Mytilus edulis: one gene and its partner. The protein of the gene in region 2 binds, or shares a complex with, the protein of the main gene of each other region. Links are inferred from orthologs where the notes say so. Each region holds a gene or a part of one and is shown on either strand. Other genes may lie near its edges.

The links. Proteins that work in one complex are often made in the same cells at the same time.
Region 1: the proteins of symplekin-like (region 2) and RNA polymerase II subunit A C-terminal domain phosphatase SSU72-like are in contact, whole or in part, in a crystal structure (PDB 4YGX), measured with the Drosophila melanogaster proteins. The link is inferred for Mytilus edulis from reciprocal best matches to the Drosophila melanogaster genes Sym and Ssu72. Residues at the interface, in NP_649580.1 of Drosophila melanogaster: Glu91, Ala117, Lys121, Gln125, Gly128, Ser129, Glu169, Asn170, Asp171, Gly172, Thr175, Asn176, Lys179, Phe180, Arg198, Ser240, Ser241, Val242, Ile245, Ala246, Ser249, Thr281, Ser283, Gln284, Ser286, Ser287, Lys290, Met294, Gln295; in NP_001285455.1 of Drosophila melanogaster: Glu114, Tyr117, Asp118, Val121, Met122, Glu125, Glu128, Ser129, Val130, Asp131, Asn132, Arg133, Pro134, Asp168, Asp170, Asn171, Asp174, Gln178, Glu181, Val187, Ile188, Leu189, His190, Ser191, Val192, Phe194.

What each region holds. Positions count from the first base shown.
Region 1 is NC_092356.1:11,118,957-11,126,636, forward strand, and holds the start of RNA polymerase II subunit A C-terminal domain phosphatase SSU72-like, read right to left. Parts: upstream 3,002-7,680; 5' UTR 2,788-3,001; coding exon 2,711-2,787; intron 1-2,710.
Region 2 is NC_092346.1:102,303,769-102,311,115, forward strand, and holds the start of symplekin-like, read right to left. Parts: upstream 3,022-7,347; 5' UTR 2,914-3,021; coding exon 2,824-2,913; intron 642-2,823; coding exon 573-641; intron 1-572. UniProt on the Drosophila melanogaster protein: Component of a protein complex required for cotranscriptional processing of 3'-ends of polyadenylated and histone pre-mRNA. Involved in germline stem cell transit amplification, differentiation and mitosis-to-meiosis transition.

The DNA of each region.
Region 1 (7,680 bases), on a different chromosome or scaffold from region 2:
ATAAAAATCGAAAGGGAGCATACACCAATAGATAATTTTTTAGTTATTGTTACAAAACTGGAAAATCCCCCTTTCTTTAAGGATAAAACTTCATAACCATTACATGGAAACGAAAAATCTGAAATTTATAAAAATCAAAAAGGGAGCTTACGTCAATAGTCTTTAGATATAAACATTTCATCAAATAAACACAATAAACATTTCCACAAAGTTTCATTAAAGTTGATGGAAGCATTTTTGAATTACATGTATTGTCAGAGGACTGGAAATCCCCCTTTTTTTTAAGGATAAAACTTTATAACATGGAATCGAAAAATCTGAAATTTATATATAAAAAATTGAAAGGGAGCTTACATCAATAGATATAAACAATTCAACAAAGTTTCATAAAAGTTGGTGGAAGCGTTTTTTAGAAACTGTCCGAAGTGGTGACGACGAACAGACAAACAACAGTATACCATAATATGTCCCGTCTTAAACAGGTGTATGAAAATAAACAATACTATATTACGAACCGTTTACTAAATAATAAGAATGCTCAAGTTTTCATGCTTAACCGGCTTTTAAAAATGTCGCTGGGCCTGTGACAATCATCAATTTTTCTAGGCGCTATATAACAATGAAATACAAAGTTACATGTACAGTCAAGCTTTTTGGTTTTTTTTTCTATGCACTGTTTTAACTTTTCAGATTTGCATCTGTTATCATATGACTGTTGCTTTATTTTTTAAAGAGAAATAAAATGTTTTTGAAGTGGCTCACAATTGTTGTCATCCAAACACAATTATGGTTTATGAAGTAAATTGATTAATTCTAAGAACAGTTTATACCTTTGACCACTAGCCTTTAGCTAATTATATATATCTATATGTTGTGTACGCATTGTAATGTTGTACAAGTTATCAGTGTTTTATGAACTGCTTAACACAAATGGATGATGTAAGCACACAGTGGAAAGTAAAATTAAGTAATGCATGGTCAATAATGCATTGGTTGAAGTTGATTCAATTACAATTCTGGACAAGTTTTGATTGCATCTCTTTCAATCTTAACACAAAACATGTATTAAGTTTCAAGAACTTTAAATACTCTATAAACTACCTTGACCAAATAACCTGAAACAGGACAGACGGACAAATGGACAGATGCAGAATGAAAAACATAATGCCCCTAGATATACAATAATGCAAAAAAAAATGATCCATAGGTCACAGCTTGAAACAGAGTGAGACATTGAAATATATGCTATTCCTGGGATATGGTACATGAAGTTAGTTAAATCTGTCATGTAACCGAAATGTAGACACGACACTGACACAAGTTAAAATCTGCTGGGTCAAACCAAAGACTTTAAAAGTATTGGTATTTGCTGCTTCTTTGCTAGAAGTAAAAGCAAGACTGGTTAACCAGGAGTCAGAATAATTTGTCAAGACAGGGCGACACGTCTTCAGCTTCTGTTTAGTACACATTCTCATACTGAGTTTGCCCTATTTGAGTACATCAGTGTTTTGCGAAAACTGTCAGACTATTAAATCTTTACAAGCAAAAAACAAGAGATCAGCCAATTAAGGTTCATCATAACAAACGGACAAATACGGCTGTATTTACATGCCAAAAATTACTCTGAGTACAGACTTACCTGTGAAGTTGGAAAACTTTTAATGCCTGGCATCCACTAGATATAATAAAGTTAAATGCATTTTGTGTTTTAGAAAGATAAAATCTCTTTTGGATTTTGCTGGGCATTTTTTTCCTGAAAAATTCTGAAAATTAACTAAGCTGTGGAACAACTATGAGATGCTCCCTCAGGTAAAAAACCGGTTTGTATTGTTTTGTTTGTCCTTAATTGACATGGACAAGAGGTATCTTAACAACTACTAGCTGCGGAACTGTAGCTCTAAGGTCCGCAAATAGTCAAAAAATAACATAAGGACCTTAGAGCTACGGTTCCGCAGCTACACAACTACAGGTGAGTTAAAGAGTTCATCTGAGTCAGCGAGTGGACAGTATCAAAGTAATTCAGGTGTTTGTTTATTTTTACACCTTCTGCAGAAAGGAAAATAAATGCCCAGCAAAAACCAAAAAAGATTTTATCTTTCTTTAACACAAAATGAATTTAACTTTTATATATCTAGTGGATGCTAGGCATTAAAACTTTCCAAACAGCACAGGTAAGTCTGTACACAGAGTAGTTTTTAAGGTGAAAATACAGCCATATTTGTCCATTTGTTATGATGAACCTTAATGTAAAAATAATGAATTATTTAGACTTTTTTAAGTGTAGCAGTTGTCCTGATGCATAGGTGGATCCAGTGGGCTGGGGTGCCCGTAACCCCCCCCCCCCCCCCCCCTTTTGGGGGAAATATTTGGTTGATTATGTAAGGAATCAATAAAGCATGACTGGAGAGGCCCCCCACTTATGAAAAGTTCTGGATCCGCCACTGTGATGTCATACTTGAAAGTTATTCTTTTATTTTAGCTCTCTGGTATAAAGAGTATAGCTCCTGATTATTATGTTTTACATTGCAATTGATTGTAGTGAAAATCATGTCTGAATAGAAACTGCTTGCATCAAATTATAATATCAACGAATTACCTCCCTTACTTCTGACCTTGACCCAATATGTCAACAAAGCACCCCACCCCCTTATTTCGGATTGAAACCGTGAATCGATTAGTGTTTGTTATCCCATTATAAACCATTTCTCACCTTAGAAAGCTATGAGCTTCCATACTTCTGTTTTGGTTACTCGAACAGACAACAGCGACTCTCATTTCTACGCCCATTGTTTATTTCCTTAGACTTTTCTCGCTATGACTTTGACAATGATACGAGAAAGCAGAATCTAAGTGTATAAGCTATGAAAGTGAACGAAATCAAGAAACCTAAGAGATAGAATTAACCCTTAAAATGTGCAGATTACTGATGATTGATACGACAAATTTTTCATCAAATGTTCCGTTTATTTTAACCGGATGTCGGATGTAGGCACAATTTTTCGGATTTCAGATTGCTAAACGAATTCTTGATCTTAGACAAGTTCTTTTTACTGAGTCTCTTAAAATTGATGAACATTTTAATAGTTTTACAGATTGTCAGAAAATGGTATTTTTATTTTCGAATCAAGATATTATAAGATTATGTGCCAAAACCTGTAATTTTATTCTTAAACGACGCCGAGAAGTTTTATATTGTAAATAATAATTAAATACTTTTGTTGTATAATTTTACCATTTAGGTTTAATATTTATTATGTACATATACATATTCTTTTAAGTGATTATCGTCTCTCATAAATCTGTACAGATTGGCTTATGTATACAAAATGTATCTTTTATAAATGTATTGTGTAATTTTATACATAAGGTGAGACGTAAATAAAATATTGAATTGAATTGAATTGCTATAATAAAAAAAATGGTGTGAGGAAGGGAAGGGGAGGCTTGATCTGATCCTCTATTTTTTACATTATCTTTGATTTTTCTTCTTTTTCTTTTTCTCCTGCTATATGTTTATGACAAGGATGTGTTTGATAATATCAAGGATTTATATAGTAATACAAATCCTCGGTCTCACTAATTAGCGACAACAAGAATTATTACAACAAGCGACAAGAATTATTTTAGCGACAAATCCTTGGCGACAAGAAGCGACAAGAAAACATATTTTTTTAAAATAAAATTCATTATTGCAATAAATATTAAAAGAATATGCAAAAGAAAATAATTTTAGCGACAAGAAAGTTAAAATTGATAGAAAAAAAAATGAAACATTATTTACATAATATTTTATCATCTATTATGTATAACCAGAGACATATATACATAGAGATTGGCAACTCCGTGAAATCCCGTAAAAGATCGCGGCCCGGGATGAGATTCTCGTCGATAAATATTAGAACATGTAATCAAGTCAGGGATGAATAACCTCGATAGATAATCAAGAAAAGCAATGGGGAAATTATTTCAGATCATATTATAATTTCTTTTCTAAAAAAAACCTACTTGAAATCGTTATATTCATTTTTATGTATTTATTGAGAAAAATATTTTTTTCTGCATTTCATATAATTTAAAAATTCAAATCTGGTAATGATCAATTGTTATTACAAGAAACTTTTCTTTATCGCATATCTTTGCAATAGTTTGCTCCTTTTAAATTACACAGTGAAATTATGTGTGTCCGATTTTCCGGTAATAAGTCCCTTAATTAGAGTTGTGACTGTTGATTCACAGGTGTGTATATATGTCTCTGGTATAACAGCCAGTATTACGTTTAATTATTGTATTATGAGATTACTTTTCCTTGTGTTTTAGAACATATTATTTATCTTATAATTTGTTTTTTAAAACTCTTTTCGTGCAATATAGATTAAGCTCGCAAAATGAATTATTTGTGCATCATTGTCCAGAAAATATTGACACAAATTGTGAAATACAAAGAACTGAAATCAAACAAGAGGAAAAGAAAATTGAAATGTGAATGTTTTCATCTTTTTAATTGTTTATTGCCTCATTAAACGATATTTATCATTGATTGAAGATGAAAGGAAATTAATGACAATCTTGAGTTTTCAACAGGTGTTCACTATTTACAATGATTGTATATTCTGGCGCGTGTAATTGTATATTCTGACGCTTGTACAAAGTTGAAGGTGTTATAAATTGGATGTTATTGTAGCAATAAAACAGGGGACACGCGCCTCGTTTTAATTAATCTCATTTGATGTTCCACATTGTGTGTACTGTTATTACCTTAGGGTGAAGCCACATCTAATGTTGTTCCAATCAAGAACAATGAATTGTACTGTTAGAAAGGAAATTATATTTCATGTTTTTGTTTCAATAAATCCTTCAAAGGAAAGTTGACCTTTTTTTGTTTTTGTTTCAATTTTATAGAGTGTGCATTTCCTTTGCTCTATCAAGCTGACTGCTAAAACTTTTATGTTTAGTATAAATAAATTGTCAGCATTTCAGTATTATTCTCGCAAAAGTACGTGCTCTGTGCAATTGCTAGAATCTGAAACGCCACTCGGTTTACCTTTGATTAATAAATCAGTTACTTTGTACGTCTTTGATACTGCGCAGTATCAAACGAACCCTTTGGTACAGGGTTTCAATTTCCTTTGGGCAAGGGAAAAAAAGGTTACGACCCAAACTTCGATAAATGCATATTACGGGAGTATTACAGACCTTCTAAAATTCAAACTGACCATTATTCCGTGCGTTCATCGTGTATCGTGCGTGTTGCGTGCGTGCATCGTGCGTGTATCGTGCGTGTACCAATCGTGCGTTCATCATTCATCGTTCCGTGTATTTTCCGTGTAACGTGCGTGCATCGTGTATTCTTAATCGTGTATCGTGCGTGTATCGTGCGTGTATCGTGCGCTCATCAAACATTCATTCTTAACCGTGTATCGTGCGTGTATCGTGCGTTCATCAATCTTGTATTTTTAAACGTGTATCGTGTGTTCGTCAATCGTGTATAATTGTGTAGATCAGATAACGTGCATTTGTGAAACGTTCATCTCTAATTGTTTAACGTTCATACATTGCGGTTTTTATATGATAGTCGGTTATAGAGCGGTTAAAGTATATGTATATATATATAATATATATGTATGTTCCGACTTTAAATAAAATTTACAGTCATACTTACTTTCTTGTAGACTCTTAATTAACTTCATCGTACATATAAAGTTCATACAGATTCATGACTTTTTGTGTAAATATCTTATCATCTGTAAAGATTTTGTGGTTATTCGGTGAATCTTGGCTGGGACTGACACATTTTGATATAATGATACATGTTGTACGTACAAACAATAACATGATATTGACATTTCTACGACAGAAGAGTTAAAATTGGAATTTCTATTCAACTGAGCGAAAATGGACTTAAAAATATACTGTTGGCCAACTGGTATTTGTTAAAAATATTCTGTCAAATAAAAACAAATGTGTTTTTGCAAAATTTAAATGTGGGGTAGCTCCACTAAAAAAATAGAAACTGGAAAGTATGAAAGAAAAGAAGTCCACGAGATGACATGTGTTGTAGCTCTACTATTGAAGATGAACTTCATGTCATTCTAAAATGCCCATTATAGTATAATATTATACATTTTAATGAACATTTTAACCCGCGGCTATAATTATCAGATAGCGAAAATTTAATATTTTTATTTAATAACGGCAATGTTGCTGCTATAGTCGCCAAAAACACCAACAATATTTTATTGAAAAGAAACTATACAAATCCTTGGTTGTAAATCCTAGGTAGATTATAATTCTTCGCTTATTTGGCAAATTCCTATGCTACTAAGATATTTCGAAATATCTAAGTTTTGATAAATATCATTATAAATATCATTTTTGTCTTAGTTTCTGATGGTCACATGCACGTTAGGTTATTTCATTGAGAAAATACAATATACAAGATTGTCGGGTAAATGTGGATTGCGGATTAAAATGTTAAATGTCAAACATGAATTAACAAATTAAACTGAGGCAAATTAACACGAATATGTATATTCTCTTCGACAGTGTTTGGATTCTCTGTTCTGAATTTCATTTAAACTAAGCTAAAATGTTTTGTGGAAAATTGAATAAAAATGAACATTACATGTATTTGAAGGCATTATTTTAATCAAACAAATATAAGATCACGCAAATATATCATGTATTATTTTTAATTGAGGAACTTTTAAAACTTGAAATTGGATTTACAAGTTTAAGATATAATCTTGTTTTTTTTTTTTTTTTTTTTTTTATATAAATTAGTTAAATATATGGTATTATCATAACAAGTCTTTACTTGAATGGAATAAACATGGAACACTTTCACGGATTCATTTTTCATTGTGTTCATGGTTGCCTATCAATGACACCGTTTTTAATGAAGGCATTATTTTAATTAAACAAATATAAGATCAGGCAAATATATCATGTATTATTTTTAATTGAGGAACTTTTAAAACTTGAAATTGGATTTACAAGTTTAAGATATAATCTTGTTTTTTTTTTTTTTGTTGTTTTTTTTTTATAAATTAGTTAAATATATGGTATAATCATAACAAGTCTTTACTTGAATGGAATAAACATGGAACACTTTCACGGATTCATTTTTCATTGTGTTCATGGTTGCCTATCAATGACACCGTTTTTAATGTATGCCTAAAAGATTATTATCCGAAAAATAATTCACAATAGTACGTTGTTACTGACTAGGTTGGTCCCCTCCGTAAAACATTCAGTATGCCTTCGGAACATACAAATATTAAGGTAATGTCAAGAATTTCAATAACGGCCGGGAAACAAACTAGTTGTTAGGGACCGGTCAAAATTTCTTGATGCATGGGACCGGTGCAAACTGTAATGGGACAAGCAATTTTTGCAGTGTTTACAGGAATGGGACTCAATGTTTTTTTCATTATTGGCAAGCATGGGACATGAACTTTTTGAAACAATGTCTGTATATGAAAAAACATTATTTGATAAATCTATAACAAACAAAAATAACATCATGAACATCAAGCAATGTGAATTTAACAGTTACAACATAGCAAATTCATTTTCAAGATTTAAAGAACAGTGAAGGCAACAAAAAAAATCTCTTTTAATATTTACTAATTAAATAATTGGGCGACCTAATGATCCCATCACAACAACAAATCTTATGCC
Region 2 (7,347 bases):
CATTAATTTGATTACACACAAAATTCAATTGTATACACTTCTGAAGCATATACTTAATTTTCAATCATTAAAAGGAAATATACATTTGAATTTTGATAATTTGGAGAATAATCAAAGTAAAAATGAAAAGAATGACTCAAAGGTCAACTTTTGATTATATAATCAACAGATGATTGATGTTTACAAAATCGTTTAAGAAATCTACATGTACATTTATATGTAGTTTTATTTCATCTTAAGAATGTTGTGGTGCAACGTTATCTGGTACTTATGTTAAGACATTGTAAGTATAGTCATATCTGAAATGCAAGAGTAAGTAAAACCTGGAAAACAAAAGTGTGAGTCTTGAATGAACACACATGGTAAAACAATTAAATACATGTACAAAAATGTATATAATTTATCTAAGTCATAAATATCATGTTTGAAATTTCCATTCTCTCTACTCTTTGGTAATCATTCCCATTTTTAAATTACCAAACAATCTACATTCAGCACTGAGGTAGTTATCTACATACATATTACCTGCTCAAATTTACAATTGTATCTTTACCAATCAATTGTTAACATACCTGTCTTAAATTACCAATCTTTTGAACATCTTTTTGCATCAAAGTAGCCTGGTTGACCAGTTCAACAACCTGAAATAATAATCTTAAAATTGTCACAAGAAACATTGAAATTTTTTTCTCAATTTTACGCTGGTTGAAGTGTAGACAACTTACTAAAATTTATTTCAGTACCTTATTTAGAATTACTTTCAACATGTTTAACTTATGACTGTTCAATATTTTAGGTCAATTTTCACCTTCTCATATCAATTTTGAAATTCTACTTAACTTTGGATGATTTCTCAGGAGAAAGTACAATCACTCACAAATTTTATCTTATGGACAATTTTAGTTTATTGAACATTTATATTCACACGCATGAATCAGCCACTATCAGACCCTTTTTATGTTATTAACCATATTCATATTAAGAAGGTTTATTCAAGCTGTTTACATTAGATTCTGTTTAACAATGTCATTTTTTGTGTAACTGCAGTTTAAGCTAATTTCTATTGATATTAAATATATAAAAAAACATATTATTTCCAATGGCAATTCTTCCAGTCTTCAACATGTTCGTTCAACAATGTTTATTGCTTGTTATCTGATCCTTTCGATGGTGCAATTTAAAACTTCACAGACATAAGGAGGTAATGCTGAATATAATCATGCCTTGTAGCCTAACACACAAAACAATAAAATTGTGATACAATCAACTATGTGTTTTATTAATATGCCTGTAGAGTTTAGACCACACTTCCAAATATTTCAGCAGAAACTTCATTTTATAGGGATCTCCATGGATGAAAATTGAACGATGGAGGAACTTTCACCACGTGTCTATGCTGAACAGTGTAGCGTGATCGAATATATTTCATCCCTCCATATAAAGAATGGTGAACATGCTAATTCATTGCTTATTTAAATTATATTTATTTGAATTTTCATTATAGAAGTATAAATATTTTCAATAATTGGCGTTAGTATTGTAACCATTCAAATGCCAAGCCTTCATGCCCCCCCCCCCCCCCCCCCCCTTTGTAGAGAATGATCAAAAGCTGTCAAGAAGGTCCCCATGTAGTTTTCTTGCTATTTTTGGTAATTGTTATGGGGGTTAAAAATCATGTGGAGGTTATTTTTCACTGACACTCAAATTCAGAAGTCATGAACCCATTAGCTAGGCATTACCAGTATGGCTGATTTTCAGCAACAACAAAACGATTCGTACACTTGGGTTATGTAAAAGGTTAAAGATATTTGTAAAGCAAACGTTGACAAATGAAAATGTTTTTAATGACTTTATCTAGCAAATTACTGCTATGCAACATGCATCTTTCGAGTCTGAATAAAAACCGGAAACGTAGATGTATCAATTTGATTGTAAACTACGAAATGAATTCGTAAAATAGATATGATATTTCTTTACAGGAAATATTAAGTTTTCACTTTTTTTTAACTTTGAAAGTAATTCTATATTATCGTTACAGCAGTACTCGAGTTATTTGCGATGAAATAATAATTACTGTTTTACGTCTTATTTTGTACTTGTGGGATGCTGATTGCGTAAGTCAAAATAAATGCATGTGTTCGACTTGTTCAACTGTTTTCTTTGTAACTGGACAATTTAACGATGGTGGGGGTCATTTGACAATGGCGCAAAAATTGTTTCAATCTGATAAAAATTTGACTTACATGTAAGTAAAACAAATTTTATCTGATGCTGTATTTTTTTTTAATGGACATTGGCCAAATATTGTAAATCACGGGATTGCAGTTATTATTTCCATCTGGAACTAATCAATTTTATTCTTTTTTATCCCTTTGGAATGTTAAAACAATAACAAGAACAATTTTATTTGTGTTACCTTGTTGATATAATGAAATCAGTTTATGCGCTGTATCACCGGCCGCGCGGACACCGGGGACTCCACTGTACAAAGTATCTCTTTTGACGGTCAGACATAGCAAAGTAAGGGATGAGCAAGCCACTTTATTGCCCCAGTCGCTTGCTAGTGAATTGCATTGTACTCAGTTGCTCTGAATACTTTGGAAATTTACCTATTGCCTATTGGGTCAAATATATCGGGTATTTAAAATAATATCTATATTTGAAGCGTGGCAGCCAACAATTTAGTGTGTTAAATAATTATCAAAGGCAGTGGAGGGAAATTCAGTGTATCACACTAGATTAGGTAGAGGTGATCCCTGATGTATTGACAGGTGGCAGTAGCAGTGCAGAAAGAAAAAAAACACATTTTTTATGCGTTGTTACCCTATCGTAAGTGGACGTGCTGCCCTCTTCTTCGTCCATGAAGAACTGTGCAGCAGTCGACAGAGGGGTTGGCTGACTTTCTGCAGACATCTTAATCAAATAAAACTAATCAAAATAGGGAATTTGTGTTCAATTATTTTTGTTGACTTTTGCATTTTCCCAGTTTTCCCTCATGCTGATAACCGGAAGTTGAAAAAGAGCTAGAAACATCAGGATCGGAGACGATAATTTCCGCGTTGTGCTTTATCATTAAAAACATATAAATATTTAGTATGCCAAAAACAATAAAACTACCAAATTTGATTAAGAAATCTATCTATATATATACCTCTACACAATACTTCTTAACTTCAAAATGTTCTTCTTCTTCTTCTTCTTCCAAGTAAGGAACCGTATTCATACTGAATATTAAGATACAACAACAGGGCATAGAAAAACTATTAAATAATATCAATATCAACAAAGCCGCTGGGCCTGATCTCATCCATGGAAAATTTTTAAAAGAGTGTAAATCATCTATCACTCCCATCTTATCAATCATATTTCAAGCATCACTGAACTCTGGAAAGATCCCAGACGACTGGCGTCACGCAAGTGTATGTCCAGCCGCTTTCAAAAAAGGCGACAAACACGATCCCATAAACTATCGCCCAATATCATTGACTTGCATCTGCTGCAAACTATTAGAACATGTTGTAGCTAGTAGCATAATGAAACATCTGGAAAAAAATAAAATTCTATATGACTTACAACACGGTTTTCGATCCTCCCGCTCCTGTGAAACTCAGCTAATATCATTTATTCAAGATCTTGCAAATTCAAATAATAAAAACATCCAAATAGACATCATAATAATGGATTTTGCAAAAGCATTCGATAAAGTTTCACACCACCACCTCATGTATAAAATTGGTTTCTACGGTATAAATTGTAATGCATATCATTGGATTCAAGATTTCTTAACAAACAGAACACAAACAGTAGTCCTTGAAGGTGAAACATCAAATACAATTCCTGTAACATCTGGGGTACCTCAAGGCACAGTGCTTGGTCCAATTTTATTTTTAATCTTTATTAATGATTTGGCAGAATATATTGAACATAGTACATTAAGATTGTTTGCAGATGATAGCATTATTTATAGGGAAATTAAAAAACCAGATGACACACTTAAATTACAGTCTGACTTAGAAGCGGCCGGCAGGTGGGAGCAGGACTGGCTCATGCATTTTCACCCTGATAAGTGCAACATTCTCAGTGTAACTCAAAAACGGAAACCTTTAGACTTCACTTATAAATTACACAATCACTCTCTAGAAAAAGTCGACTCTACAAAATATTTAGGCCTAACTCTTCAATCAAATTTAAAATGGGACAAACATATCGATAACATGACATCAAAAGCAAACCAGTCCTTTGGATTTATTCGTAGAAACCTAAAAATAGCATCACCGAAAGTTAAAGCTCACGCATATAAAGCTCTTGTCCGACCAAAATTAGAGTACTGCTCAACAATTTGGGACCCACATCAAAAACAGCAAATTTCACAAATCGAAAAAGTTCAAAGAAGAGCAGCACGCTTCTCATGCAACCGCTTCCATAACACCAGCTCAGTTACTGAAATGATGACAGACCTAAATTGGTACCCACTCGAAATTAGGCGTTTACGATACAGACTTGTTTTCTTTTACAAAATTATACATGAAATTGTTGCAGTCCCTACACATATCCTTTTGATCCCACTAGACAATAGAACCAGACATAGCAATCCACACCCATTTAGGCAAATACAAACATCCAAAGACAGTTATAAATATTCATTTTATCCACGAACTGTTATAAATTGGAATCATCTGCCACAACAAATAGTATCATGCAGTACAGTACAGGGATTCAAGAGTATGATCTCAGAATCTGCTCTCATCCCCATATTTTATCCCTAACTATTCTGTTATCAAATGTATATAGTTTTATTACAATTCATTTTTTCAAATGTAAATACGTTATGTTGATTTTTTGATTTTGTTATTTTTGATTTTTGTTGCTAAAGTGTAAATTATAAATTTTATAGTCGACGCCCGGCGAATAATCTTCAATAATTGAAGGATCGCTAGAACACGGCCGACACTCGGCTAACCGAGAGTTTGGTCGGTTAATCTATATTGAGTATGCGGCTATATCGGCGGTTGGTCTGTTAATCGGGTTGGTTATACGTCTGTTAAGAGTAAAACTCAAAATTTAATGTTAAACTCTGTTAAATATATAGATTTTTGCCATATTATGAGAACCACATCAAAAAAAGAAAAGTGTCTGACAAAATGATATCTATCATAGAACATTTTCCACCAGTAAAAAAAATACATAGCCTGCGCAGTTTTAAGTAAAACGAAAAGGCGTCTCGCAAGTATGTGGTTTTTATGCTTGTACGCATAGCAATATTTTGGATAAAAGGCTAAAAGACATTTTTATATATGATTTAAAGGACACAAAATAGTACTTTGGTTCTAAAAAAATAATTGTCATTGATAAATATTTCATAATTGGTATATAAGTTGAGTAATACCACATTTTAATGAATATTAGGGGAATACAGTCTGTTAATGGGTTGGACAATTTAAATCGTGTCAGTTAAGAGTTATTTAGCCACGACAATAGTCTTACTACCTTTAGTTTATATTTTCACATTGAAAAAAATGAGATGTACTTGTGACGAAAAAATTACAATACGGTGCAACAGTATCCTTATAGAAAGAGAACTTTTATTTTAATTTTATTTCTTTGTATTTCATTGAAGGGTGTGTCACTTCAATATAGCGTTATATGGACTGATTGGCCGCTCGAATTCGCACGAATTTATTATTTACGCCAAGTTATCAATCAGCCTTATTTTGTTTTGTCTGTTCAAAGTCTGTAACATCTATGAATCTGTCATATGTTGCAATGCAGCTGGTTAAATTCCATGCGTTTTCTTTGAAATATTGAGGCTTTTCTACCTCAGGAATAGATTACCTTATGCCGGCGTCACACATTGGCGTATAGACCTGCGTGCACCAAACGTACAGAGAAAATTTACAAAGTCGGTATACGTTAGTTGCATGCCATAGGAACGCTTAGCAATAGTCCAAAGCGCGTTGCATAAGTTTTTAGTACGTCTAAATACAAAGGTAAAATTGAGAAAGGAAATGGGGAATGTTTCAAAGCGACAACAACCCGACCATAGAGCAGGCCAAGGCCACCAATGGGTCTTCAATGTAGAGAGAAACTCCCGCACCCGTAGGCGTCCTTCAGTTGACCCCTTAAAAGATATGTATACTAGATCACACAAGACTAACAAAGGCCAGAGGCTCCTGACTTGGGACAGGCGCAAAATTGCGGCGGGGATAAACATGTTTATGAGATATCAACCCTCCCCCTATTCCTCTAGCCAATGAAGGAAAGTAAATACGCTTGATGAACGCTACAATCACAGGAAATTTGTATGCAGTATAAAAAACATACAACATACGCCAACATACGTTTCTAGTACGCCCAATACACGCTTAAAGCTCGTTTTGCACACGTTACAAATATGATTGACAGGTTAAGGTAGATTCATGGTACCGCTATCATGTTAAGTCAGCTTCATATCTTGACTTACATCTAGAAATGGACAATGAGGGTCGGTTGAAGACAAAACTTTACGACAAAAGAGATGATTTCAGCTTCCCAATTGTGAACTTTCCATTTCTAAGTAGCAACATTCCAGCAGCACCTGCATACGGGGTATATATCTCTCAATTGATACGATATTCCCGTGCTTGCATTTCCTATCATGATTTTCTTGATAGAGGGTTACTGCTCACAAGGAAGCTATTAAATCAAGAGTTCCAAATGGTGAAGTTGAAATCATCCCTTCGTAAATTTTACGGACGCCATCACGAGTTGGTTGACCGTTATGGAATAACCATTTCACAAATGATATCAGATATGTTCCTCACGTCGTAACTACAATCCCCTTCCCTTTCATGAATTTGACCTACCGAATTAGACTATTTACCGGATTTGTAATCACATAAGCAACACGACGGGTGCCGCATGTGGAGCAGGATCTGCTTACCCTTCCGGAGCACCTGAGATCACCCCTAGTTTTTGGTGGGGTTCGTGTTGTTTATTCTTTAGTTTTCTATGTTGTGTCATGTGTACTATTGTTTTTCTGTTTGTCTTTTTCATTTTTAGCCATGGCGTTGTCAGTTTGTTTTAGATTTATGAGTTTGACTGTCCCTTTGGTATCTTTCGTCCCTCTTCTATCTTGGATTGTACAATCACAGTACAAAATCGGTATAGTTATTTGCCCAAATCAGCAAATTTGGAAACAGATTTGCAATTTAATGGTTAGACTGTTTATTTATATAAAGAAAACTTGCTAATTTATTGTATTATTCAAAATATTTTAACAAATATCAACCTTTTTGGTTTTTAAAATCATTTTTTTTTTTCAAATGAGTCATTTAAGGGGAGATAACTCTTTTAGTACAAAATTTATAC